Linked DNA regions of Schizosaccharomyces pombe. Changing the gene in region 1 together with any one later gene gives a genetic interaction. Each region holds a gene or a part of one and is shown in the gene's direction. Other genes may lie near its edges. The genes, in order: amk2, ypa1, wdr7 and ftp105.

What was found.
Region 2: mutations in amk2 (region 1) and ypa1 together harm fitness less than expected from each alone (positive genetic interaction), as found in Schizosaccharomyces pombe (3 studies listed by BioGRID).
Region 3: mutations in amk2 (region 1) and wdr7 together harm fitness more than expected from each alone (negative genetic interaction), as found in Schizosaccharomyces pombe (3 studies listed by BioGRID).
Region 4: mutations in amk2 (region 1) and ftp105 together harm fitness more than expected from each alone (negative genetic interaction), as found in Schizosaccharomyces pombe (3 studies listed by BioGRID).

What each region holds. Positions count from the first base shown.
Region 1 is NC_003421.2:2,206,951-2,210,841, reverse strand, and holds amk2 (serine/threonine protein kinase AMPK (beta) regulatory subunit Amk2), read left to right. Parts: upstream 1-1,814; 5' UTR 1,815-1,842; coding exon 1,843-1,867; exon of another isoform or gene 1,868-1,920; coding exon 1,921-2,181; exon of another isoform or gene 2,182-2,351; coding exon 2,352-2,454; intron 2,455-2,550; coding exon 2,551-3,019; intron 3,020-3,067; coding exon 3,068-3,106; 3' UTR 3,107-3,357; downstream 3,358-3,891. Other genes in the region: pbn1 (GPI synthesis protein pig-X), read right to left, coding at 3,372-3,891. UniProt on the Schizosaccharomyces pombe protein: Beta subunit of AMP-activated protein kinase (AMPK), which is required for transcriptional, metabolic, and developmental adaptations in response to glucose limitation.
Region 2 is NC_003424.3:4,834,382-4,838,129, forward strand, and holds ypa1 (type 2A protein phosphatase regulator), read left to right. Parts: upstream 1-1,813; 5' UTR 1,814-2,013; coding exon 2,014-2,886; exon of another isoform or gene 2,887-2,929; coding exon 2,930-3,034; 3' UTR 3,035-3,209; downstream 3,210-3,748. Other genes in the region: aspartyl metalloaminopeptidase Ape4, read left to right, coding at 1-47; trm7 (tRNA 2'-O-ribose methyltransferase), read right to left, coding at 489-1,322, 1,541-1,564; lip2 (lipoate-protein ligase), read right to left, coding at 3,269-3,748. UniProt on the Schizosaccharomyces pombe protein: PPIases accelerate the folding of proteins. It catalyzes the cis-trans isomerization of proline imidic peptide bonds in oligopeptides.
Region 3 is NC_003423.3:2,268,858-2,275,248, reverse strand, and holds wdr7 (WDR7-like protein), read left to right. Parts: upstream 1-1,996; 5' UTR 1,997-2,054; intron 2,055-2,291; 5' UTR 2,292-2,472; coding exon 2,473-2,738; intron 2,739-2,818; coding exon 2,819-3,931; exon of another isoform or gene 3,932-3,974; coding exon 3,975-5,676; 3' UTR 5,677-5,681; downstream 5,682-6,391. Other genes in the region: SPOM_SPBC16H5.12C (uncharacterized protein), read right to left, coding at 1-468, 528-639, 948-1,110, 1,165-1,176; SPOM_SPBC16H5.14C (DHRS family dehydrogenase), read right to left, coding at 5,682-6,016, 6,071-6,201, 6,253-6,391.
Region 4 is NC_003424.3:1,784,425-1,790,906, forward strand, and holds ftp105 (Ubp5 interacting protein Ftp10), read left to right. Parts: upstream 1-1,945; 5' UTR 1,946-2,013; coding exon 2,014-2,033; exon of another isoform or gene 2,034-2,075; coding exon 2,076-2,118; exon of another isoform or gene 2,119-2,180; coding exon 2,181-2,213; exon of another isoform or gene 2,214-2,281; coding exon 2,282-2,928; intron 2,929-3,026; coding exon 3,027-3,234; intron 3,235-3,290; coding exon 3,291-3,668; intron 3,669-3,767; coding exon 3,768-4,022; exon of another isoform or gene 4,023-4,074; coding exon 4,075-5,268; 3' UTR 5,269-5,931; downstream 5,932-6,482. Other genes in the region: gus1 (glutamate-tRNA ligase), read right to left, coding at 1-661; protein saf5, read left to right, coding at 6,201-6,482. UniProt on the Schizosaccharomyces pombe protein: Required for the localization of ubp5 to the Golgi apparatus. Involved in detoxification of cadmium ion.

The sequences.
Region 1 (3,891 bases):
TAAATAGAGCTACTGCTGAACCTCGTTCCTCAGTTCAGTTATGAGCTATATTAGTGATAGGTAACATTATAACCCAGTTAATACAATACCTATACTCAGTTGCTACTTATACAACCTGTGTATTGTAATATAATAGATCACAAGGAAAACTCACCGTAGTTCTACGTATCCTTAAATCAGATACCAAACTGCGTAGCGTACATACCAATTCTAAATACTACTATTCCTACAATACATTAATGTCAGCTTATATAAAATACACTACGATACACTATAACATATGCTCTAATATTCTATTTGCTCTATTTACTTACAAGATAAGTTATCAAGAAGATTATAATAGTGTTCAATAATAAAAAGATGTTATTTTATTACATAGTTTTTTCAATGCTTTAAATTAAGACAAACTGAACCTCGTTCCTCAGTTCAGTTATTAGCTAAATCGGTCACCAATACTAGTAGACTTATAACAATAAATATAATATTGTTAGTGAAGCATACCCATACCGTTATCTTGTAGCCCGCAAAAGAAACTCATCGCATTTTAGTGTATCGCTAAACAAATACCAAACTACGTAGCAAACAATAAATCGCGTAGGTTATTCATTAAAAGCCTCTAGGATATGTATGGGTATAATTTGTATATTTAAACGGTCTATTTCAAATCCTTCCTCGTGTTCGTGGCTTTAAAACAGCATAAAAAGATTACCACTGAAATCAAAATTTCGTTTGAGTTAGGTGAACGGAAAGAGTACTCTAACAGCATATTCAACCATATGTACTTCAATTCATGACATTTTTGTAATGGAACATATCATATCAAAAAACAATACTTCATACTTTATTGTATCATTAAACCAATACTGAGCTGCGTACTAACAACATATAAGTTTTCACTACTTTGCTTCGTTATAGATTATAAAGTGAAGGATTCATCGCAACAAAAATTCACGTTTGGTTTGGTAAAGTCGTCATTTAACTAAAAAATAATATATTCTTCGTTTCATATGGAATGTATTTAATCAGTACGTTCATTGAAAACACTGTTCTTGTTTTTGCAATGCAGTGATTTTAGTTCGCTTATTTCGCAGCATAATAAGTAGACATGAAAAATTGACGGAAATAGAGCATTTGATATCTAGAAATTCAGGCTTTTTTTAAGTTCGTAACTTAATTTGAGTGATTTCGTCTGAGAAATAGAAGCGTCTTTTTTACGAAAGAAGTTTTTGCGCCATACTTATATATTGTTATACTAGAACGTAGTTAAAAAAGATGAAGCTATACGAGCGTAATGTACAAGGTATTCATTAATTTATAAACATATAATATGCAGGCCTTTCGGTTATGGAAGTTTAACTCAATTAAAGCCTCGCTAAGTTACAATAATTATAAGTGAACCGCTTTTAGTGTATAATTAACTTGAAGGCCTCTCAATGCACAGAGTAGTTTAAAATTTTTCTATATCGTTTCATATGTAGCTTCAATAATTTTTTAAACATTTCCATTAAGAATGAGAAGCATGCTGCTTTTTACCTTCAAAAGATTATACATAGCTGTTGTAGAACTGTATTATACGTCCCAAATGCAATATTAAATTTTTCAGCTTTTATCATACAGCTTTTAGATATTTATTCTTTATAATAAATGGATTTTCAATTAATGTTTTCTTTGATAAAGCTGCAAAACAGTACGAAGCGTTTAACTGTGAATAACGCTGCACTTTAGCTTCCACTATTTAATGATAGCTTAGATACAATAAATAACCTTATTTCATGCTCGTTGGGGTTTAGTTCAAAGTGATGAGCTACAAAGCCAGAACAAACTACTTTACATCATTTCAAAATGGGAAATGTTCAATCTCAGGAGGGTAATGTCCTTTAAGTTAAACACATGTGAAATAAGTATCTAATTTAATGTTAGGAGAGACTCGCGCACATGCTGTCCCTTCTCAAGATGCCACAACAACGCCTGACAATGCAAATAACGTTCCAAAAGAACCACGTGCCCAAAGCATGATTAGTATTGCTGCAGATGATTTGAATCAAGAAGGTGAAATGTCGGATGATAATCAGCAGGAAGGCGGTAATAATCGTACTTCCCAAAACGGAACTTCAGGATCGAGTGGTCATACGAAACGCCGTTCTCAAACTTCAGGCAAGAAGACACATCAGCCTTATTCTGGTAAGTTTCTTTAAGACCGGTTTATTTGATTGCTTGACATCCTTATGTAACAAGGGTGATTTACCGTAACATTGCATTATCATTTAAGCTGTTGACCTTAACGTTTGTTTGCAATAGTTTTCAGAAAGGAGATTTTTTGCAATTGACAATTTAATTACTTACACATATAGGTCCTTGTGTGCCAACCATTATTCGATGGAGAGGAGGCGGTGAAGTTGTTTATGTCACTGGATCGTTTTCTCGTTGGAAGAAAAAAATCCAATTACTGAAAAGGTATGAGTTTTTCATGGTGTGCTTTTTTCTATATTTGAGCCTCCCTTTATAGGTTGTTTATCCTGTTTTAAGCTTGCTAACTTTTTCGCCAAATAGCGAAGATTACACTGTCCTTTTGCAATTACGTCCTGGAACTCAGCGTTTTAAATTCTTGGTTGATGGTATATGGTGCTGTTCTTCAGATTTTCCAACTGCCACCGATGCGGAAGGCAACCTTTACAACTACCTCGAGGTGGAAGCTAATGAGAAGTTAGGCGCTAGTATTGATGAAAGATTGAGTCAAGTTCATACGGACCTTCCGATGGAGGAAAAGTCTGAATCTGAGCAATATTCTACGGAGATACCAGCTTTTCTTACTAGCAACACCCTTCAAGAGTTGAAGTTGCCAAAGCCCCCTTCTCTACCTCCTCATCTTGAGAAGTGTATCCTTAACTCAAATACTGCCTATAAGGAGGATCAGTCTGTCTTGCCAAATCCTAATCACGTCCTTTTAAACCATTTAGCAGCTGCAAATACCCAGTTAGGCGTTCTCGCTTTAAGTGCTACTACGCGCTATCATCGAAAGGTAAGTCGGTTCCTTATACGCGTTGCTTGACTAACTTTGTTTCCCCAGTATGTCACTACTGCTATGTTTAAAAATTTTGATGTCTAGCCATACCGCATCTGTCGAATTTATTGTTTATATTTCGCGACGTATATAATCACTTTAATGATAAATTTATTTTTTTAAATTTCTCAAACATCCCATCATTATACTTCATTTGATTGGTTTATTTGCACGATTTTGTTTCGAGAAAACTTTACGCTGTGATATCAAGCACAAAGCAACCAGTTCATATTTCACTATGTAGCGATCCATAGGTTAATTAATTTTTATAAATACATATCTAGTTACTTCACTTCACGATGTTATTCTCTTAATCCTTTGCGTAACGGAACCTTTTCCACAAATATAGCAATAGGTAGAAGAACGAAAAAATCGCGACTCCATTAGTCACCCATTCTACGACATGTTTATAGGATAAATCGGCTATTGGAATAGATATGCTTAAGGTTGTTGGATCGTTTTGTAAGGTATATTTGTTCTTACTGGAAAACAGAAATCTGAAATCATTTACTTTGTCTTCAGTGTCACAATTCCAGAAAAACTTGGGATTTGTTAATGATGTTTTTAAGTATGTTTGTCCTTTGAGAGGGCTTTGATAACGTGTGTGTAAGGGAATGATAGTGTCTATATAGTCTTTTTGCAACAAACCATCGTCCGTATATATGTCAAACCAGAAAAAAGACCCAGTACCATTTAATTTGTAACTAGGTGCTTCCAAGTCGGTCTCACCCCAAATTCCTAAAACATGCCCTAAATTGTCGGCATGCATTTCCGCAATATTAGATAGCTCGTACCTGTCAATAAACAATGTAGGTGGTATGTACATGAAC
Region 2 (3,748 bases), on another chromosome or scaffold:
TTCAAAACTTTGCAAATTTGGAAGAAAAAATCATTATTGATGAATAGTTTACCAAGTTTGTTTATGTCTTACACCTCATGATACTATGGGTTCATAAGAACGCCATGAAATTTACCGAACTCGTATCTGTTGGCCGTGCTATGAGTAGTACTAGTTGCCTCTCTTATAGTTATGAAAATGATATCCACATGACAATTATAATCATAACCCCATGATTTGCTATAGCAAGGTATAAAGTTAAACATGACTAGCAAGTCTTTCAACGAAAGCATGTGTGTATCAAAAGTAATTGATTTAGATAAAAATTCATAAGAGGAAATTCTGATTATAAGTATACCGAACACATCCTGCTTTCTTTAATTTTTTTATGAAAAAAGAATGATAGGTTCAAAAATAGATTATACCTATATAATATACAATAGTAAAACCCACTGCTAAATTAAACGAAAGAAAAGATTAAATAAAAAAGAGACAATTGGAATAATAGGTTACGACATCATCTTGCTATGCTTCAATTCGATAGCTCGTTTATAAGGAGGAGCGGTTGGAGGTTGTATAACGTCTAAGGTAGCCTTTTTCATATTTATTTCAACGGGATAAGTAGCGTCCGCATCATAACCATCAAGGTCACCACATGCAATAAATGGTGCAATCTCATGAGCATTGGTTGGATCGATTACACATAAAGGTTTTGTTAAATCGGGTTGAAAATTAGAAGGGGGGTTAAAATCTTCACAAACGACAAAGGACTCGATAGAGCTAGCACGAGAGCTTCTTGGTTTAGCACAAGAAACTTTTCGAAACATCAAACGAAGCTGAGAGTATAACAGTGAAACATCTCGTCCACGAAAAATTTTTGCAACAAATTTCCCACCAGGCTTTAAAACACAAACCGCTAAATTAAATGCAGCTAACAATATCTGTGCTTGAATATATTCATCTAGGTCGTGCAAACCAGTAACATCTGGGGCACCATCACTAACTACGAGATCAGCCGGTTCATTACCAAAGTGAGACAAAATAATTGAAAGGGTGTTGGGATGAGTAATGTCTAATTGCAGGGTGCATACCCCATCGATTGGTGCCATGGGTTGAAGATCAACAGCAACAATCATAGGTTTCTCATCTGCGGCAATGGAAGTATCAATGTTTTTGAGTAACTCACGAGACAAAACTTGAGACCAAGACCCCGGTGCAGCACATAAGTCTACAACTCTTTTTGCTCCTTCAAATAAATTGAACTGTTCGTTTAATTGGAGCAATTTGAAAGCTGAGCGGGCTCTCCACCCTTGTTCCTTCGCCAGACGATAATAGGCATCTCTCTAAAAAAGTGTAAAGTTAGTATTTTAACAAAATAAATAGTTAAATAATTATTTAGCAATAAAAAAAAAATGAAATAATAAACTAAAATGTTTCTATATGCGACTGAGAAACATTAAAGTTTACACATTAATATACGATATAACTTCGATAAAATTAACGTAAACTTTTCGCTACAAAGTTAAGTATTTACAAGGTTTCAGTAACGCACGAGACATACCTTATCTTTGCTGCTTCTCCCCATTTGTTTTTCAGTTTGGTAAAAACTGGTTGAAATTATTATATTCGTTTCTTGCATCGATTGTATTGAATAAACATATCGTTAAATATTGATTAGGAGATAATTATTTCGGTAGCGTATTGTTATGAAGTGGTTCGAATTAACATATGGATACATCACTATAAAGATTTTAGGATATAATCACATCCATAGTACTAATTATCGTTAAACTAATCTTAATCAAGTTATTGAATAAGCTAAATGCTTCTTCTCGAATACTGCTATTATACTCTATCTTGATGAAAGCAATATCAAGCTGTTTTTAAATGCTGTTATAGTTGCTGTTATATTCTTTAACTTGGTCCTGGTTTTTTTTAATAAAGAGTCGTTCATCAAAGCCTGTAACTTAGTGAGTGTCGTAAATCTATTGGCGTATACGCGAACTTGATTGATTCATTGTTTATTGCTTTACAATGCAAGTCGTAGATGAGAAAACAATACTAGAGCTTGAAAATGAAAGGTTTGATGAAAGTTCACAGTTTAAAACTCCCGAAAAACTAATCGTGGAGGCGAGCGATATGACGGCGTTTCGACAATCGAAAGCATATTATCGAATTTTTGATTTTTTACAGCGTCTCAATATTGCATCTGTGGGTGTGAACGATTATCATGTGGAATACTCAACAAGAGTTGAAAAGTTAGTACGAATATTGTGTAGAGTTAAAGAAATTACTAAAACTGTACCACCTGCATCAGGTCGGCATCGGTTTGGTAATCCTGCTTTTCGAATATGGCACGAAAAGCTACGTGACTCCGCCTCTCAAATTATGGACATCATTATTCCTGATTCATTGAGTAAGGCAAAAGTGGAGTTACTGGACTATTTTTTGGGATCGTTTGGTAATTCTCAAAGAATTGACTTTGGTACGGGTCATGAGTTAAATTTTTTGGGTTTTATTAAGGGCTTGGACTTGCTGGGACTTTTAGATGCCGCAGATTATAAAGCTATCGCCTTGTACATAACCCATGTTTACTTGGAAGTTTGTCGTGAGCTCGTTCAAACTTATCGCTTAGAGCCTGCTGGCTCACATGGAGTTTGGGGGCTTGATGATCATTTTTTTATTCCTTATATTTTTGGTTCTGCCCAACTTGCTGATAAGGCATCATCTTCCATCATAAAGCCTGATGCTATACTTAACAAAAAAATAGTGGATGAAAAAGCTAATAGCAACTTGTATTTTAGTGCTATCAAGTTTATAAACGTGATGAAAAAGGGCCCATTTTACGAACATTCCCCAATATTGTATGATATAACCGCTGTTCCTATATGGTCAAAGGTCAATCAGGTATGTTAAGAAGTGTGTATTTATTAAGCTAATTACTTTCAAGGGATTGATAAAAATGTACGATGTGGAAGTGCTGAGCAAATATCCTGTTGTTCAACACTTTCATTTTGGAAATCTCTTTCCGTTTAACCCTTTAGTTGCAAAGTAGTTTAACTTTAATCTTTCGTGCAATTTCAAAAACAAATAGTCACTGTTATTAATGTTATGTTTTATTTATTGTATCTTTTATGGTTGCTGATAAGCTATTTTATAGGGGCCAAAAGGAAGGAAAGCCCGCAAATTTACTGAAAAAATTTTTAATAAACCAAATTATCGCAAGAATAGCATTACTGTTATTGCATTATATTTTTTATAAGTAATACTGTTTCTAATACATTTAAATTTATTTACTCATTAAAAAGCTATCAAGGTTATTTACCAGTACCTTCTCTACAGACTTTAAGTCAGTAAAAACTCCTTGGTCTTTAAAACTGGTAGTGTTTTTTCCATATAATCCGCAACCCACAATGTAATTGAAATACTTAAGATCCGTACTAACATTGAGCGCAAGACCATGACTAGTAATATTTCGGCGTAAATGAATACCAATTGCTGCAATTTTATCGTTTTCTGTTACCCACACACCGGTGTTTTTTGTTGTATGAGCTTTTTCGATGCCAAAGCTTTTACATGTTGCTATAATCGCTTGCTCTAGCCTTGACACATATTCACGTGGACTTAATCCAAAGGACTTCAAATCAATAATAGGATATGCAAGTATTTGACCAGGACCATGAAATGTAGTTTGCCCACCACGCAATGCTTTAACAACTTTAGCCTTAGGGAAGCCTTTGGTAAAATTAATTGAAGATTCCCTTCTTCC
Region 3 (6,391 bases), on another chromosome or scaffold:
CTGTCAAGCAGGCTCTTAGCGGTTTCTATTAGTTCACCCATTTGAAGGATTGTAGTCCACATAGTACCCTGGCCACCAGCAATAGTTCCTTTACCGTCTCCATTGTCAAAAAGCTTAAAAGGGACATAAGGACCTCCAAGACCAAGTAAACGGATTTTCATATCTCCAATTTGCAATAGGTAGGAATGAAGTTCGTCCACTATGTTAAGGTTTGGAATAGAATATTCTCCAGAACGAAATTTTTCCAAAACGTGCACATCTTCGCAAGCTCCCCATACTACATATACAGGGACTGAGAATTTCTTCTCTTGTGACAAAAATTGAGGTAATTCTGAAAGCAGGCAATCGGGGTGAGAAGCAATACTATTCTTCAAATCCCCAATTGGATTCGAGGGATAATAATCAAAGTTTTTGGACCTAGGAAGCTTTTTTATGAGAGGCGAGAATTGGACAATGTGACGAAGAGTACTGAAAAAAGGTTAGAACAAAGAAAAATGAAACATAAAAATTTTTGACACAAAACATACCGTTCAGATATGCTAGGAAGTGAGGATCGCTCAAAAAATCCAAAGTCACCAGTGTGGATGACACAGGAGGCATTGGTTTCCTCAACCAGGCTATTTATTAAACTCAGTTCACCTGAAGGGATAGTTATTAGTAAAAACGCGTATTAAAGAGTAGTAATTTTAAGGATAGGAATAGCTAAGGAGAATAAAGTGTATGGACAAAATTCTTTTACGAACCAACGAGGATCTTTAATGACAAAATGAGTAAATTGAGCAATTGCGCTTCAACTCCTGCTAAGCCATTATGGATAAGTTCATGCAAAAGCATACAAATTCGCATCTTCTTATCTTAAAAAGTAAAACGATCGTCGATAATTCCCCCGATGGGGTGCTTTTGAATTCTCGCTGGCAGCTCTAAATCCATAAACAACGCATACTTACCTCGAACATCGGCAATACATAAGATCCTGGATTTATTATCCAATGTGAGTACTTGAGCTGAAACATCCAACGTGGAATTATTCTCGGAATCTGAGTACGTTTTAGAGGATTTATTTTCCAGCGTCCCAGTTGAAGGTTCCGCTTGAATATCACTTTTAGCCGTCTTTTATGTAATTAGTTTAAAATTTTTGCAAAGATTCATTAGATCTATACTTACATCCACGCTCATTATATCGTAAAAATCTAATGAAACGGATAAAACAGTAAATGGTGTTGAGTAAGGGTTTTGTGATGATGCCTCAGTTTCGGCACTGTACTACTTCCTACTACAATAAGAGAATGTTGCTTCGTAATGTTATAACTTAGATCCACCACAAACGAAGTAAAGTAAATTAAATATATAAATACACAAAAAGCAGCAGTTAATAGATAGTTTTTGAAATTTTTAACGTGACAATTGTATTTCTGTAGTATAAAACTCCACAAAAAATAAAAATAAAAATAAAATTTAGTATATATTAATATATATATTTATATATAAATATGAAAAAAAAAGGTGCTTCAATGAAGGATTACAAAATTCTTGAGAAAGCTCGGTAATCGGGACGGCAGAGTTTATTAGGGTATATGTTAAATGTTGCAGCTTTGGAATGGAATTGTTAACTTATTTTACACATACTATGACTTAAGTTTGCCTCGTGTACAGTAGATGATGCTACAGTCTGAAGTATATTTCAATTTCGTTATATCGTTTTTCCAGGTTGAGATTTGAATACTAGTTGCAGTGCGAAATTTACAACATTTGAAGTATGTAAATGTTCTGTTTATTTGGCAAATTGAATAAAATAAGACTGTTAGCAATTTTTTCGGTTTTTTTCTATGTACAACAATACTCTTTTGTGTTATTAAATAATGCTCGTTTACTATAACTTAAACTCGTTTGTACGCTGTATTCTTACTACTAAGTATTGTCAAGATTTGGAAGCAAGGGCATCGCCCCATCAACTAGGTCATATAGTATTCGCGTGCTTCAAGTAGCACAGCAGCACATTCCCACCACCGAGTGGAATTCGAAGTTGTGTGCAGTGGTATAAATTTTGGAGAAGTGTAAGTTGTATATAATTCAAGAATGAAGAGATTTATGTAATGATTGATACAATCGGAGCTGTCGATGCATACATTCTATTAAATGACGGATGGACGAATTGTTTACATGGCTATTTGTTAGACATTCTTGTCTATGGCTGTTGCAAGTTCTTCATTTTTCTTAGATTCTCTTCCTCAAATACTTGTTGCATCTTGTTTATTCGTTTGCGTTCCGAATTTGCTAATTTTACATTCAAGAATATCGCGGCAACTGTTAGTCTGCCTAAATATTGTTTTAATTTCATTTTCTGCGTTTTCAATTACTTTTATATTTAAAAAGGTTTAACAATTACTGAATTGAGTGGTTATTTGGGAAGCCGTGTTCGAACAGCGTTCAAAATTGATGTCAGCCTTAGACCGTTGTTGATTGCGAATCAAAATGGATTGGGTTGCATTGTCGAAAAGCTGTAAAACTCATTTGTTAGATGAAGGCCTTGACGTGTCTTCAATACATTGTTTTGATCAGTATTTGATAGTAGGCCAATGTTCCGGCCAAGTCATGGTATTTGACGTTTCTACAGACAATCATTTCACTTTGATCCAAACATTTATAGCACACAAACATTCCGTTTCTTCTATAGTTTGCCTTCCATTTGAAGCTGATGGAATTGTAGACCTATCAATCATTACACTCGACGAATCTGGGTATGTTGAGCAACTCTCATTAGCCGAGCAGCAATTATCAAATTCATTATTTAACTTATTTCTTGCTAACATTTTCTCAGATTACTTTGTCAATGGCTACTGAAAACATGTGACCGACGAGCTACTTTGCAATTGTGTGACGGGCTATGTTTAAAGCTATTTAGATTAAATAACAACTTTCTTGCTGTTACCGGAACCTTTTTGAAAATATATCTCATTAGAATCTCCAACTTTCAGATAGTTGCGACTTGGACTGGTCATGAGGACTGGCCTATTTTGTTTCCGTTCAAAGACGAAGCTTTATTAATCCCTGTCGCCTATTCAGATGGATCTGTATCTCTTTGGTCAGTTGATTGGTCAGCTCTTACTTTTAAAAGAAATTCAGTTACAAAAGCAGATGTTAAACCAACTTTTGGTAAGGTTATTGATGTTGTACCAGCAGATTGCATTTCTTCCAATTATGCGCTATATGTATACTCGGATGCGGTAGTACTATTGGAATCGCATGAGAAATTTATAGCTTCATATTCACTTGCAGAGATAACATCTGTATTTGTTTTGGCTGATGGCACGGCTTGTATTTTTACTCTTTCGTCTTCAACTTTACTCAAACTTCATCAATCTCCTGAACCTCATTTCGAATTAATTTCTAAGTATTCTGGAGATTTTCCATGGAAATCGTGCACCATTTTAAAAAGTAAACCCGTTAGTTTGTGTGTTTATCCCGAAAAAATAACTTTCAATTGGTTAACAGAAGGAACCGTAGACTCATGCAATCTTTGTAAGTTGAGCAATACAGCTGCTGTTTCCTACGCTTATACGGACTCTCTTAATTTATTCCTTGGAACAACCTCTGGTTTAGTGATGTTTTCTTTGTTTGACTGGTACCTTCACAATGATCCAGCTCCTCTTTACTCTTTTACAAGGGTTTCTGGAATTGTAACATATATGAAAATATTTGAAACTGAACATTCACGCTCAATTTTAGTTGTTGCTACCAAAACTGGAAAGGCTTACTTTTATCAACAACTTCAGGGTGAAAGATGGAGATTTCTCTGCGAGCGTGCTTTGCAATCTTCTTCAATTACTAAAATTATTCATGCAAAGAAATCATTATCTTCTGGTTCATCAGGCTTATTTATTTTTATGAGTTTAGATGGCTCATTGTGTGCCTTGGATGAATCTTATAATCTGTAAGTTATCAGTGTGTTATCAGTTATTAATCGACTTTTATAGTCTAAGCTACTTGCCATCTGATGGTGCTCAAGTTGAAACTTTGTACTCATTTCCCGATTTAGATCAAATCTATGTTGCTTATGACAATTTTCAACTATTAAATTGGGACGTTGTGGATCAAAAATGTTCTGAAGGAAATTATTCAGATATTATTGACTCTTCGTTCATATCTATTGGTACTTTTGATAAATCTAACCTCCCTACTTTGTATCATGGTTCTTGTGCTTTACTCACCGATAATTTGGTTACTGTTTTTTTAGACGCTCATGATTTAGTACTGAACCTCAATTTTTCTAATGAAAATTACATAGAAAAAACGTATATTGACGAGTTCCTTGACTTTATCCAACCTCCTTTCCTAAACTCTGATATAGAGATGGAGCATCAGTTGTTAGGTACTGTTTTTGATCAATCCAGTTTGCATCTTGGTGTGGGTAAGCCAGATGGAAATGCCATACTTCGATTTGACACCGAAATGAAGTCAATAATAAATACTGCACCAAATTGTTCCGCTTTGCTGTTATATCTATATTTTTCTCTAATGGTTCCTTTATGTAAATATGATGGGCTGAGCGATACCAAATTGACTGAAGGAATATTATTAAAGTTAAAAGACCTGAAAACGGTTGATTACAGTATTTCCGTTCTTTCATACGTCTGGAATAATTCAGGCAAGGTTATGCAGGGTATAATTAAATCAATGTTGTCGAGAACATTGGAACTTATATCTCCAGAGGAACTTCAGAGGCTTATATATTATTATTTTGAGTTTTTTACGACTACAGGTGGAGAGTACTATCTGAAAAAGGAGGTGCAACATTCACTGTACATCTTGTCATTAATTGTCAGTTTACGGCCTTCAGCATTTGATGTTTCACAATTGAAATTTTTGTCTTCCTATTTATTACAAAAATCCGAAAGTATGGACTATGACTTAACAGCAATTCGCCTGTTGAGTAATGGTTTTTCCGTGTTTTCAAAACATATTGATCCTGCAAAGTTTATATACAACCTGGTTTTGTCATCCTTAGAGAATACTAAGGATTTGGATGATAAAAATAGCATTCTCTATAGATCAATAGTGGATGTCTCAGTTTCGAATGCTGTTTTACTGCTTACATGTTTATGCGATGAAGTTTATGAGCAAATGAAATCAAATTTACGTTCCGTTATACTAAAAGTTGTGTCTTTGGCAATTGAAAACACACAATCCGAATTTTCTTTATTTAATCAATTGATCACGGAAAAATTACTTCCAATCCTTTACTCTAGCCGCTCGGTTGAAGAAGTTCACGACGTTACTAACGCAATTGCAACCCAATTTCCATTTGCATGTTTTGATAGTAAGGTGGAAAAATATTCCTACATTGACGATGGTGATCTTGTGGTTTATGAAATAGCTAAAAGAAGGAAAGTCGTCAGCAAGGAAAACGCCGAATGTGATATTCAGGTATTGTCCGCCAGTCCTTCTGGTGACTATTTTGTTGGAGTCAGTGCTACGCAAAAGGAATGCATTATTTGGAAATACAGCCAAGATTTCGTAAAATTCTTGAACTTATCAACACCTTCATTAACGATCCGAAAACGTATATTATTACAAACTAACAAAACGAATGAGGTTGAAATTCCTGAAGTCCTATGGATTAGCCAGTCATCAGCAGAAGTCCATATTGGGAGCACCTTTGCTATCATTGACTTGTAGGTGGATTATGAATAAATTTTATCCATGCCACTAAATAGACGAGCCAATTTTTGTATTGGAAGTGGGAAAAACCTCAGTAGAGGCATAAAACGTGCGTAAAATGGATAGTAAAAACGACCCGATTTGTTTGTATATAAGTTTTGAATAATAATTTTTGCTAAGTTTTGAGGTTCTAGTAGAGGGGCTAATACTCTGTTTGGGGTATCTTTTTCGAACATTGTAGATTTAATTTGCCCTAAAACATAAAGAGAAAACTTGAAGTTGGGATGCTGTGATAAAACCTCTTCCTCTAATGTTTCATGTAGCGAAACTAGTGCCGCTTTTGAAGATGAATAGGCACCTGTTAATCACGTTAGAAAGGAAAAGCAAATTTTATAAAATCAACCCCACTTACCGACTCCCATCGCACTAAAATAAGCCAAGGAGGATGCTATGTTGACCACATGAGGATTTGGATCTTGTAAAAGGAGAGGAAATAATGCAGATGTAATTGCCAGCTGTCCGATCACATTTGTTTCAAAGCATCTAAATTAAGCAGTTAGAAAATAAGGCTTACTACGCTTAACCTGTACTTACTTTTGTAATTCTTGTCTTGATATAGACAGCAAATGATTTTTTGGAGCAATAGCTGCAGCATTGATCAGAGCAAAAGGGGTCCTGTTCATCTTTTTCAAAGAATGGACACATCCTTCTACGTCCTTATCTTTGGTAATAT
Region 4 (6,482 bases), on another chromosome or scaffold:
TGTGCAAATATCCACTAGGTTCGGGAGGAAATCTGGTGACCACCTTACCATCAATGGCATCAGGAAGACCGATCTCGTAGTTAGGACCAGAAGATTTTTGTTTTTTGCTAATATTAACTGCCTTGGTGAATTCTTCCATGGTGACACTCACGGCATTTTGAGAATCCATAAACTTGTACCAACGAGCAAGGTTGAAATACTGGCCAGTGCGTACGGCACCAGCTGCCATGTTGTTTGATTTTAAGGCACCCCAAATAGAAAAATCAGCAGAGGTGAGGGAATAACCCACAAAAAGAGAGCGCATAATTAAATGGTCGTCTAACTGAGCAAGAAGTGAAGAAAGCTCAAGAAAGTTGTGGTTACCAGCTAAGGCAGAGGCAGTTTCCACCCAACTCTCAACCAAAGAACGATCGTTTTCGCCAATGAAAAGTTTAGGATAGACTTGAGAGAAAGTCTGTAAAGCCAACTTGGAACCGAATACAGGAGAATCAGAGCCGTTAAGCTGAATGGAGACGTTCGATTCCTTGTTTTGTTTGTCTAATAAAGCAACGTCCTCATACTTGACGGAAATGCTTCCTGCACCAGACAGATTCACATAATTTGCACATGCAACTGCACCATAAGCAATGGGCTTTGCTTTTAATGCAACACTAACTGACATTTTCCCAAAACCGGTGGTGAAAATTGTCGAACTTGGTTCGTGGTAAGTTGGTGTCGAAGTGATTTTTAGGGTATTAGTGTATGGTAAAGGTATGTTTGCAAAACACTAAAAATCCAAACCAGAAAAATTCGAACGCAGTACGAAGTTGACCGAAAAAAAAGGATTCTATTTAAGTACAAATTAGATTATAGATAAGGAATTCAAGTTCATGTCTGACCTTGATTAATTTTCTTTCCAGCATTTTTCGCTAATCTGCTAATTTTATACAGATATGAACCGAAACCGAGGGTTTCTCGTTATACTGTTTACCATTTTCTAACGTAAATCGGTATACCGATAAGAAAAGAGAATAGATACATAATAACAGAGTGGAGTTGAAACAATCAGAAGAATGGAAGAAAAGTCATTTTTTTGTTAATAATTACCTGTTAATCAGCTATAGGATTAAAGGAAAAAGTAGGAAAAATCATCTACCAAGTTAATTAATAAGATCTTTATCATCTCATTTATTTAGTTATCTTGCTATTGACAATTTTGACGATATCAAATACATATATGACATTTCAAGTACATTGAGAGTAGAAAAAGAGCACCTTTTATAATTGAAATTATTATAAATTGGAAAAAAATCTCACTTCAAAATAGATAGCTGCTTTGTTTATTTTACAGAAATAGCTAAAATTTGAATACAGCCATTTATAATGTACTTCATTGTATATAATATAAGGAACTCTAACATATCACGGCATAGTCTAGCGATTCATCTACTGAACATGTAAATATATCATTGTTTGCTTCGACAGATGTCTCATGTGGTTTTGCCGCGTGAGTTATACAGTAGATGAATTGTTTACAGCTATACAGTTTCCTTGTTTTTTTTATAACTGAGAAACCTTTGAGGTTTATCTGATGGCACGGTAATTATGAGATAACGAGTAGAAACCAAAAACTCACAAACATTTAAATGCAGTTCAGCAGGTAGCTGAAGTCTCTTTGACAAGCTGTATTTCTTCCTTAATTCTCATTTCGTGATGGTAATCAATTGTTTTCCTTACCCTGCCTCCTAACAAATTGCAGTTTGCTAAAAAGTGTTTACCAAATAGTGAGTCATAGTGCATTGACTGTAAATGTGAAAATTCGTCGTAATGCTAACGATCATTAAATGTACGGTAGAGCTAACAAATTAACTCGAGCAATAATAAAATTTCGCAATATGAAATAATGCATCTTTTGGAAACTTAGCGCGCGAATAAAGTATACACATGGACGGGTCTACTAGTACCTAACGATTATCGATGAAGCTGCAGCGTTTGTCAAGAGCACTTTACGGTTTTCGCATCTAATTAGAGAATATGGGAGGCCAAGAGTCAAAGTAAGTAACATTGCGAAATTTTCGTATGAGCTAACTGTTTAGATTGGCATTTCAGCGAGGAATTGCAAGATTAGCTTCTCAACCGGTACGGTTTGTGTTTATGGGTGGATGATACGCTAAGAGAACATTGCAAGCTAATTCTAGTAGGATATACCGTTGGATGATGAAGTTTGGGTTTCTGTATGAAATTTTTTTTATTAACTTGTGTAAGACGCTTTTACTAATGTATTCGTTTTTATGTTTATTAGCTTTGGAGTGTACCTGAAAGTTGTCCAGAAGTTTACGATTTTTTTCCCCCAGGTCTCATTCGTGAGATGAGGGATCATGCCTTTGTAAACCTTGAAAAATTGCTGCTTGTATTGACATCTCGTTTGTTTGCGTTGAAAAATGACAAAAAGTTTCCAAATCCTGAAACGGCACCAGCGAGTGAAGCGTTAAACTGCATTCGCCTACTTACTAGAATCATTCCTTTTTTGAATGAGAAACTCGATTTAGAAGAATGGCATCAAAAGTTTTGGTGGAGCCTTAGAAAGAAGAGAAATTTACCAAAGGAAAATTCCGAATTAGACCTTAGTAATTTTCAAGACGATCTAGATTTTGAAAATTCCATCTCCCAAAAGAACGAATTCTCGCAGAAGTCTCCTTCAGTCCCATTATCTCCTGTGAGCACCTTTCCTGCTTCTTCCATCTCCCTTGATGCTTCTTCAGACGTCTCTGCCGCTGACGTATCAGTAGGTGGTTCTAGCACAATCAAAGAAATTGGCTCTATTGAAGAAACTTTTACTCATGAAAAAACTTTAATGGAGGAATTGCTGGACACCGTCTTTCGTTTGCTTTTTTGCAGAGGCTTTACGCTTCCTCTTTCAAGTCCTGAGCAATATGCATACATTATATGGTAAGTATATATGTATATATATATATATTTTTTTTTTGTTTTTCGTTTGCTTTTTTATATTTGGTTAAATGCAATGTGTTAACTAATCACTTTTGCAGGGAAAATGGAATTGGTACAACAGAAACCCAAGAGAAAACCACAAAGGAACTTGCGTTTAATCGCATTGAGGTTCTTCGTTTGCTGTTAGTATTGATTTCTAAAAGGCTGTATCGATCTTCTGAAGTAGCTTCTCACACCCTTACTTATTTGACCTGTGTAGCAAATAAGCAGCTTATACTAGTTTTTCTTTATTCCCTTATAAATACTGTAAGTTTTGGCTTAAAATTTACCTTTTTTTGTTGTACAACTAACTTAGTTTTTAGACTTTGCGACTTAGACCTGATAGCTGGAAGGCTTCGTATTCAACTCTAGTACCTTATAATGATTCTAGCATTGCACTCTCAAAACTTACTTCTCAAATCCTTTTGCTTTTTTTAGATCACACCCCTCATGAAACAACAGTCGAATACTTCAGACAGAGACTCAATCTTTCTCCTGGCGCTGCTATCGAAAATCAGTATAGATTATATTTTTCTCGACTTCAATTACAAGCTGATTATGAATTTTTAGTTAACGAACTATATCGGCTATTGAATGCACCAGTTTCCGCTATCTCTGCCTATATTTCAATTGTACAAAAGCCTAATATCGCGTTTCCGGAAATTATTTTGTTTCTTTGGCAAGCAATTTTATATAATAAAGTATGTTCAACGGTCCTTTTATATATATTACATTATTTGTACAGTTGTTTAATTTATGTTGTTACGCGTTCATTATATTTGCTAACTAATTTAAAACAGCGTTTCCGAGCATTTTTGATCACTTCTCCTTATGCTACGGAGTTTTTAACTTCTATTCAGTTTTATGCACTTAGATATCGTGAAGACAATGAACATTCCGGCCTTGTTCGCATTTGCCTTTTTATCGTTCATTATTTATCATGCGAGAAGGTTCTTTGTGAAAAACTAAATAGAAACTGTATGAATGCACAATCATTGATGTCTTCCCTTGGGTTCTCAGTCCCACCAATGTCTTATGCAGAGTTTTTGATTATCGTAAGATTCACGATTAATTGTTTATTTTAATTTTATTACTTACGCCTTCCAGTCTAGCTTTCATATTTCAGCAGTGAAGAGATCTCCGTTTAGCAGTTTATCTCCTGTTATATTGTTGACCATATGCAATATTGCACCATTTGTTGAAAACCTAAGTTTCGTTACGTGTGCCAAATTAATGCAACTCTGTTCATCTCTTTCATCTCCTCGGTTTCTTTTTCGTAATCCGCGCAATCATCTGCTTCTTGAATACCTGTTACAGGCTATTTCTAGTATAGTTGAAAACAAGTTTTCTCAAAACCCTAATCTCAGTTATTCTATTATTCGCCTCCAGCAAGTTTTTTTGAATCTTAATTCTATGAAACTTCCTGCCGTTGCTCAGACTAAATCACAGCCTTTAGTGGCCCTCAATTCGGAAGGAAGTAGTGATTTTGAATCTAAATCATCCGATAACACCTCCTTAGATGGAACACCACTCCAAAATACTGACTTTAAAAAAGTTGCTACCGTTGAAGATGATTCACCTTTCGATGAATTAGATAAATTTTCCTCCCCTTTTAGTAGCAGTAGTTCACGCGGTGGCTTATCACATATTTCGAGTAGAAATGTTTCGATTTCTGTCCCGACAGTCCTTCAAGATGTATTCTCAGATTCTCCATTGGTTCTGTCTAGAAAGTTGCGTGGGAAAATACCGGAAAATGTTTCTAGTTCAGAACTTATTAAAAAATGTGCATCCAATCCGTTTGGAAAAGATTTAGAAATTGACTCAAATTTGTTTGCACCTTCCAACTCGTGGTTTAATTCTTGGCATTCAAGACTTGAATTGGATTCTATTCTAGCCATTATATCTCAGTTTTCTCTACCTGTATACAAGAAAATGAATGAAGAATTATCAACTACTGACGAAGCTGTTAAACTATTAGCTAACTCTGTGCTAAATGATGTACATCCTCGAGTTCCCAATTTTCGCTACTTTATTTGGAGTGTCCCTATGAATAATTGGTTTCAAAGTCTTGTTTGGCTTTATACTTTGTCATTTGATGAAAAAGGTTTAATGGCTACTCCCTCTTTATTTACAACCTCTAAAGTGTACAAACAACATGGAAATATCATGAAAGTTGCATCTCCTGAAAACAGTTCTAACTCAATGGAGAATGCCACAAAATCTATACTTGACAAACTCGATTTGCTGTATTTACAGCTGCCAAGTAGTGTCAACCACGATTCCAGTTTACGCAACAAGTGATTCTTAAATTCAATGCGTAAATTAAAGTATACTTTTGTCCTAAAAAATATTTGAAGAAAACCCTGCATGCATGTTATGGTATCTTACTTTGAAAATTTATTGATTAAATTGTTCACTAAAAAATTATCTTGGAGGATTTGCATCCACATACTGCCATCATTTAATTATATACTGATGACCAGAATCTTGCCTTGCTAATTTTGATTTTTGAACTTTTCGATTTGTTTTCATTCTATTAATTAACTAAAAACTGGCTTGGAGAATCTTCTGCTCCAACCTTGTCACTAGCTTTAAAAAAGTCTTTCGAAGTTTGATTTGGAAAGTTGGTGTTTGAAAGTCAATCTCGTATACTTTAGAAAGACCCACCTTTATGAGAGAAACGATCCACTGATGCTAATTCATTACATGTATCCAAATCAATGTATAACCTTATATAGCAATGAATTGGTTGCTAAAAAATTCTTAGCTTTATTTCGCTACACTTATAAATCTGTTTACTATATAAAATAAAAAATCCAATTTCAAAAGTTTTGAGTCCCAATTTTTTGGGTAACGAGGATTACTTCATAAAGACCTTAGACCTTTCCTTTATTTTTTCCACAAAACTATTTATATTCATGAGTTTGTTTTGTAATTGCAATGAATAACTAGCTTGTCATTTACGAAAATTGCATATCAAAAGTATTTGAGTAAAATCGATATCCTGTTTGGCATAATGGTTCAATTTATAAAAAATTCGTGTGGTTAAGAGTAGAAATATATTTTCGATTTTGCGAAATGCTTAATATGCGAAGATATTGTATTTGAGTACTTCAAAAGAATACAACGCACAGTAAACCTTTTCTTTCAATAAATTATCAGGTAGAGGTGGCCTTATTACTGTTTTTTAATAATTTTTATGCTTAAATACCTATTGGAAGCAAGAAGTAATTATGATTACCAAAATTGACTCACTTCCAAAGGACCTAATTCGCAAAGTTGAAAATGGTGAAAAGTTGTTGCCAAATCAAGAAATCGTTTATTTTGAAGAAAAAACAGTCCCCTATAAAATTAGAAGTGATGAGGAAAGTTTTCCTTTGGGCAAATTGATAACTTTATTAGTAACTTCACAGAGCTTTATCCTTTTTGATGAAGAACAGAATTCTGGCTGGAAAATTCCATATGAAACCATTACTCTTCATGCGAAACAAAGCAAGGATAAGCCATATGTATAT